Linked DNA regions of Macaca fascicularis. The protein of the gene in region 1 interacts with the protein of each later gene in a biochemical or structural test. Links are inferred from orthologs where the notes say so. Each region holds a gene or a part of one and is shown on either strand. Other genes may lie near its edges. The genes, in order: COPS7A and COPS6.

Region 1 (3,095 bases):
CAGAAGTTAAAGTATAATTTAAAAAAAAAAAGGGTGGCAGAGGTTGCAGTGAGCCGAGATCGCACCACTGCACTCCAGCCTGGGTGACAGTGCGAGACACCGACTCAGAAAAAGAAAAAGAAGCACTTATTGAGTGGCTGTTTACTGCCCTTTTTATGGTCTGGGAATACAAGAAAAATATCAGAAGAGATAAGATGAATGGATATAAATCTAAATTATTTATTTATTTAGCGAGTATTTCTTCTGAGGCAATTACTGCATAGCTCTGTGGGATACCAGAGACTGGGTCTATAATCTTGTTGAAAGATATTCTTAGGTAGCAACCTTCTGCAAGGATTGATTAAGTGCCAGAATGAAGCTGAGCACAGTGGCTCATGCCTGTAACCCCAGCACTTTGGGAGGCTGAGGCAGGTGGTGGATCACTTGAGGTCAGGAGTTCGAGACCAGCCTGGCCAACATGGCGAAACCCTGTGTCTACTAAAAATACATATATTAGCCCAGTGTGATGGTGCATGCCTGTAATCCCACCTGCTTGGGAGGGTGAGGCAGGAGAATCACTTGAACTCAGGAGGCGGAGGTTTCAGTGAACCAAGATCACACCACTGCATTCCAAACTGGGTGACGGAGGGAGACTCCGTCGCGAAAAAAAAAAAATGCCAGAATGAGTGATCCATGATAGGAGAGGAAATCTGGGTGGACTGGACTGGGCGATGCAAGACAGTGTCCTGGTCAGGTGGGTCTGAAGCAGAGACCACAAATTTAGATGTCTTTCTAGGCTGTGCAGCTGTCAGAGATGAGTGAGGCCGAGGCAGGAATCTGTTGAATTGCGGAGTACTGCACACTGCCCAGACATATTCCAATTTAGAAATATCAAACACTCTGAGGGCCAGACAACACAATTTGCGGTGTCTGGTGCGTGTGTCTGTTCGACTCTGAAAACTGAATGTCTTCAACTCTGAATTTAGGGTAGGAATTGGATGGCGTATGGAGCAAGAGGGCATTGTGGATTGGGAGAATAGTGTAAGCAAAGGCCTGAAGGTGGAAATGCGCCCTTCCTGTGGGAAGCGTGATCAGAGAGGCAGAGAACTGCTTTTGATGAGCCAGGAGAGTTAACATTGGCTGGGAAAGATGGAACAAAAAGTGGAGTTCCACACAGGGTAAGGCTGGGAGGGTGGAGAGGAAGACTTGGGTCACCTCCTTTGTCTTCATTCTTGCAGCTGGCTGAGAGTGACTTTGCCTCCACCTTCCGGCTGCTCACAGTGTTTGCTTATGGGACATACGCTGACTACTTAGGTAACCAGAGGGTGTGGTGCTCTGGAGTAATGGAGATGGGAGAAGGGCAATTTCTGGAGGGACTCAGAAGAAATTCCCAGGATATCCCACTTAGATCCCCTGGGCACGTAGGGTCAGTGTCAAGACCTGAATTGGCATTGAACATGGGAGGGGAGGGAAGGAGGCTAGGGCTTCCCAGAAAACTGATATCAGGATTCCTTACACTTTGTCATTTTTCCCTAGCTGAAGCCCGGAATCTTCCTCCACTAACAGAGGCTCAGAAGAATAAGCTTCGACACCTCTCAGTTGTCACCCTGGCTGCTAAAGTAAAGGTGAGTGGCAGTCCCCCAGTCCTACGGTCTTGAGCATCCTTTTGTATGTCCCTGGGAGTCCACACTAGGACAGCCTTTGTCTGGACCATGGCTGCTTCCTGCCCTCCCCTTGTCCAAGGTCTGTATATAAACTCCATTAGCAACCGTTTAGGCTGATAGTATTCTTAGTTTTCTGTGTTGTTTTTATTTTTTAATCAACCTAAGTTCTAAATAAACATCTTTTGTGTATTTGGTCAAAATAGCAACTAGGATGTTGTTCAGGTGTTGTTCAACAATACCTTCTTCCCTACTGCAGGAAACCAGACTCTCTCTTGATGAAGTGCTAGGCTTCTCTTTGTTAGGATGAGAAATATATATCCCAGAAGTATCTGTATATTCCCATTATTAATGGCTGTTTTTTGTCTAATATCACCATCCACCTCCCCAGCCTGCCCAATCTGCAGCTCGCAATAGTTACTTGACTCTCAGTTGTCCTCGGGATTTAATTTAAACCAGGCTCTCTATTGAGAGACACCTCCAAAGGAATGCCTGTTGCAAGCAGGCAGAGTATAAATGATAAACAGTAACTCCAGACCTCTCCCACTTCCGCTTTCTCCCCTATGTCAAGCTGATCTTGACTGAGGACCGGGTGATACCCTGAACTGTGGCCAAAGGAGTGACACCCAGGCAGATGTCATTTTCTCCCTCTGTGGTGTGGCAGGGGTGAGGGTGTTAGGGGAGCATTTTGTATTTTATTTAAGATTGTGCTTCTAATGATGCTGTTTTTGAAGTGGGAATACTTTTGTTTATTTTGCTTTAGAACCAGCCTCTTAGAGGAAGTGATTTAGGAATGGGAGTGGAGGGCAGGTGTGCTGGGGCAGGGGGAAAAGGAGGGAAGATTTTTGGAAGCCCTTTTCTGTGCGGAACCTCACAAATCCTGACCTGATCTGCGCGGCCCCAGTGTATCCCATATGCAGTGTTGCTGGAGTCTCTTGCCCTGCGTAATGTGCGGCAGCTGGAAGACCTTGTGATTGAGGCTGTGTATGCTGACGTGCTTCGTGGCTCCCTGGACCAGCGCAACCAGCGGCTCGAGGTTGACTACAGCATCGGGCGGGACATCCAGCGCCAGGACCTCAATGCCATTGCCCGAACCCTGCAGGAATGGTGAGAACCGTATCCTGGCACTGTCCCCTTCCTTGTCACCCTGAGAAGGAGAAAGGCGCTTCAGGGTGAGAGAGGGCAAGAGCTGGGCTGGTCTGTAGAGGTGGAACCCAGGAGGATGAAGGGAAATGAATTTATCCCTCCAAAGGCTTCTGGGGAATGCAGGAGTGGGGAGACCTTGGGAGGCGGCAGAAGTCAGCGTCTTTGATACAGCAATTGGGGGAGGGAAAGGGAGTGGTACAACTGAGGGGATCCTAACCAGTAAGGTTGGTCGCCTATCTTAGGCTGGATTCTGTCGATTGGTCTATAACTACCATTGTCCACAGGCCATGGACCTTTTCCTCTTTTTTA
Region 2 (4,566 bases), on another chromosome or scaffold:
GGGGCTGCTCCCCTTTATTATTAATGACAGCGGTTTCTCTCAAGTGTAGCGCCCTCCCCTTTGGGACAGTTGCCTGACCCCTGTCCATCAGCCCTTCAAGTACCCTCCTCAGAAGAAGAGCCCGCGCATTCGCCTGCCGATGCCTTGTCGATCATAGAGGACGTTGAACTTGTTCACAAACTGGTTCATGGTGTTGCACGTTTTCGTGATGGTGCCGAGGTAGGCCATGAGCCCCACGTCGTTGCATTGCTGGGAGGGAACAGAAAGGACAAATTCCTCAGGGGATCCCTCGTGGCATGCCCAGGGAACAACAGTCCCCGGTCCTCCACGTGAAAGTGACAGCATGAGCCCCACCTCCCCATCCAGGTTTTAAACTCACATCATAAAAATCTGTCTTGAACTTGTCTGTGCTGAGCACCGGGAGGCAGTGACACAGAGCATAGGCCTCCCGCAGGATCTCATGATTAAAGGGGACCTCTCCTAAAGGCACAAAAAGAGGCTGCATTAGTTTGGATGCTGTCACTTCCCCAGGAGGGAGAGGAAGAATGCCAGGGAAGTGCCCAAGGAAGCCCCTGTCCTACCCGCTTCAGAGGCCTTGACGTACTCCAAGATGAGCTTGACGCGGCTGTGCAGCATCTTGATGGCGCTGTGCTGTGCTATCAGGTGTTCAGCCACTGCAAAGGGACGAGGACAGGAGGAGGTTGAGACGGGATGTGGCCACACCTTCCAACCCCACTTCCAAGTAATCCCCTCCATTACCAGTGGAGTTCTCTCCACTGCCTGTTGCTGTCATTCGGGCTACGTGGTCTACACCAATGCGTTCCGCTTCCTCTGTGGCCAGAGTGTAGGTCAGCTCAGCAAACAGCATTGTGGCCTACAAGGCAAGGTAACCCACAAAGGGAGAATCAAAAGCAGGAAAGAGGCCAAAAGCAGGATCTGAGGGTTCAAGGGTAGGGTATTACCTCTCCATTGATTATATCGATGACAGACTCAAAAACGCTGACAGGAAGCTGTGAAGGAGATGGAGAAACCTGAACACTATATGCCAACATTTGGACGAGCTGCTTTCACCCATTTCCTCTCATCTCATCTTCCCAAGAAACCAGTGAAGTAGGGATTACCTCCCTTCACAGTTTGGAGATGAAATGACTAAGACAGAGTTACAGCTGGTAAGTGGCACCTGGCATTCCCCAATAGAAGAGTATCACACAGTAAAAGGCAACAGTGACAATCACGACAGAGTAGGCATGGGGTATTACTCACATCTGTGTGCTTGGTCATAGGGTTCAACTTCAGAAAGAGGGGGCTCTCAATGATCTCACACACCTGGAAGAGAGGGACAATGCACAGAAGTCAGTGACCCCCACCTTTCTCCTTCCCCTCATTCTCCATTCTCTGCCCCAGCATGCACAGGTGTGAGCATGTATACCTGCTTATGGACGTGGATGTCCGAGGGGTCAGGTGGCCCCCCTGTGGTATACCAACCCAGAAACTCCAGCTCCTTGAACACCTGTTTAACTGGAGGGGAAAGGGCCAGAACACACAGTAATTCTTTTTTTTTTTTTTTTTTTTTTTTTGAGTCTTGCTCTGTTGCCTAGGCTAGAGTGCAGTGGCACGATCTTGGCTCACCACAACCTCTGCCTCCCAGGTTCAAGCAATTCTGCCTCAGCCTCCCGAGTAGCTGGGACTTCAGGCACGCACCACCATGCCAGGCTAATTTTTGTATTTTCAGTAGAGATGGGGTTTCACTATGTTTGCCAGGCTGGTCTGTAACTCCTGACCTCATGATCCACCCGCCTCGGCCTCCCAAAGTGCTGGGATTATAGGCCTGATTCACTGCGTCCGGCCTGACATAGTCCTTTAAACCATCCTTCCTCAATGTGAAACTCCTGGTGTATTTTCACCAGCTTCTCCTCCTTTCTCAAATCCTGGCTCAGTTTAGAATAATTACTCCCTTCTATCCTGTCTTCTCTCATCCTTTACTTTCTTTTTGAGAAAGAACTCTGAACGTGTTCTTTTTCTGAGATCTCTCCAGCTACTCTCTTCACTTTTTCTCCTCTGTTCTTGGCGTCCTCTCGGGTTTCTTTCCAACCCTCTCCATCTTCCCCACCTTGCACATTTTTTTTAACTCCCACTCCTCTTCCCCACATCTATTCCACTCTCACACTGCTCCTCCTTGGTGTAATAATATTCCTTGTCAATTATAATCTTCTCTTCCACGGTGTGGGACAGCAGCTCAAAGGAGTTCATCACCTCGATATTTCGGCCCTCCTGCTTGCCAATCAAAGCCCCAATCACTGGGAAAGAGAATGACATGGAAAAGGTAACGTTAAAGAGACTTCTATGACCTGAGGGTCTGAGATGAGTGGGAACCAAGTATTGGGGAAACGATGATTTGGGGGAGGGGAATTGGATCTAGTAAAGGAAGGGGAAAAGACCACTGTCTGGGGGAGGTGAGCAAGGAGAGGAGACTGGAGTCTATGCCCAACACTCACCCTGCACAGGCCGCCCCTCCTGGGAGCGCATGCGGATCCAGTGGTCGGAGATGTTGAGAATGACAAGGGGATGGAGAGCGACGGAAACACTCCCAGTCACTCCGGAGGCCATCACGCTGGGAACTACTAAGGGTGGAGGGAAAGAGAGAGGGTGAGAGTCCGGGCCCCACGTTCTTCCCTGAAGATAGCAGTGGGGGACGACGGAGCCCGGGCCACACTTTTCCTCCCGCAACTTATCCCAGAGAAAGATGTTGCTGCTCCGCCCTCCTCCCTTCTCCCGGGAGCACAGCAAGGCCTCAACGCACCCCTGAAGGAGGTCTCCGGAAGCCGCCCGCGCACGGCCCGTTACCTGCTGCATCCACCTCCATCCCGCTGCTCCCTCCGGTCCCGTTTGTAGCTGCACCCGCCGCCGCCGCCATTTTCCCCGCGCCCGCCAGCCTCGGCCCCGCCCCCTTCCTTCCCGGCTTCCGTAAGGCGAGCAGCGCATGTTCTGTGTCTCCGCGGCAAGCGGCGGGCCTGGCGTCCGGGGAGCAGGCAGTTCCCGGGTCGCGGCGGGCGGCACTCGGTGCGGGGAAGCCCGACGCCCTCTGGGCCTCGGTGCCTGCCGGTTTTCCCAGACCCTGTCCCCGCCTGTCGCCTGCGGGTGACCTTGGACAAATTAGTTAACGATTTGATTGATCGTCCTCGTCTGTAAAATTGGGATAAGAACTCCTAGTTCTTAAGGCTGTTGCAGAATGAATGACATGTCGTGTTATTTCCCTCACAATAAAATCCAGACAACTAACCACAGCCTGCAAGGCCCTGCCTGATCTGGCCCCGGTCTGGCCTCTACTTTTCTAGCCCTTGATCTTCAGGCTACAGCTGCACTGGCCCTCATGTCTGGTGGTGGTGGTTTGTTTTGTTTTGTTTGAGACAGGGTCTCGCTCTGTCGCCCAGGCTGAAGTGCAGTGGCCTGATATCAGCTGACTGCACCCTCAAACTCTCAGGCTCAAGTGATCCTCCCATTTCAGCCTCCCGAGTAGCTGGGATTACAGGTGCACCCCACCACACCCAGCTAATTTTATTATTATTTTTTTATTTTGATAGAGACAGGAGTCTCACTAGGTTGTCCAGGCTGGTCTCCAACTCCCTGACAGAAGCGATCCTCCATCCTTGGCCTCCCAAAGCACTGGGATTACAGGCATGAGCCACCACACCCAGCTCTCCGTGTCTGCTTTCCACATGCCTCACTCTCGCATTCAGGAGCCTGTGTTTCCTTCTCTTGTTCATCGTGGTATCCCCTGTGACCAACACGGTACCTAACACATTGGTGCCTAGATACTTTTTGAGTGAATGAAGGAATAATTTGGGATGGAATCTGGTGTTGAGTTGCTCCATCTTGTGAAAGTTGCAGATACCAGGACAAAAATCACATTGTCAAGTCCAAACAAATTGGAGTCATGAGAACACCAAGCAGAAGGGCTCATGCTTGCATGTCTGATATAGGGACTGTCTCAAGGACTTTCGAAAATAACCCCACAAGGCCAGGCATGGTGGCTCACACCTGTAATCCAAGCACTTTGGGAGGCCGAGGCTGGCCAATCACTTGAGGTCAGGAGTTTGAGACCAGCCTGGCCAACATGGTGAAACCCTGTCTCTACTGAAAATACAAAAATTAGCCGGACGTGGTGGCATGTGCCTGTAGTCCCAGCTACTCGGGAGACTGAGGCAGAAGAATTGATTGAACCTGGGAGGGAGAGGCTGCAGTGAGCTGAGATCGCACCACTGCACTCCAGCCTGGGCGAGACAGAGTGAGACTCCGTCTCAAAAATAAATAAATAAATAAATAAATAAATAAATAAATAAATAAATAAAATAACTCCACAAGGCCAGGCATGGTGACTCACACCTGTAATCCCAGCACGTTGGGAGGCCAAGGTGGGAGGATCACTTGAACCCAGGAGTTTGAGACCGGCCTTGGCAACATGGTGAGACCTTGTTTCTACAAAAAATGAAAACAAAATTAGCTGGGTATGGTGGGGGCATGCTGAAGAAATTTATGCTTGGGAACTGAGGCAAAACTCCCTTCCTT

What was found.
Region 2: the proteins of COPS7A (region 1) and COPS6 form a complex in vitro, tested with the Homo sapiens proteins (3 studies listed by BioGRID, with this or other methods). The link is inferred for Macaca fascicularis from reciprocal best matches to the Homo sapiens genes COPS7A and COPS6.

The regions. Positions count from the first base shown.
Region 1 is NC_088385.1:7,648,117-7,651,211, forward strand, and holds part of COPS7A (COP9 signalosome complex subunit 7a), read left to right. Parts: intron 1-1,217; coding exon 1,218-1,293; intron 1,294-1,515; coding exon 1,516-1,604; intron 1,605-2,544; coding exon 2,545-2,747; intron 2,748-3,095.
Region 2 is NC_088377.1:48,741,622-48,746,187, reverse strand, and holds the start of COPS6 (COP9 signalosome complex subunit 6), read right to left. Parts: upstream 2,928-4,566; 5' UTR 2,915-2,927; coding exon 2,845-2,914; intron 2,622-2,844; coding exon 2,496-2,621; intron 2,298-2,495; coding exon 2,166-2,297; intron 1,519-2,165; coding exon 1,430-1,518; intron 1,327-1,429; coding exon 1,264-1,326; intron 1,011-1,263; coding exon 963-1,010; intron 875-962; coding exon 760-874; intron 675-759; coding exon 582-674; intron 481-581; coding exon 380-480; intron 250-379; coding exon 109-249; 3' UTR 1-108. UniProt on the Homo sapiens protein: Component of the COP9 signalosome complex (CSN), a complex involved in various cellular and developmental processes.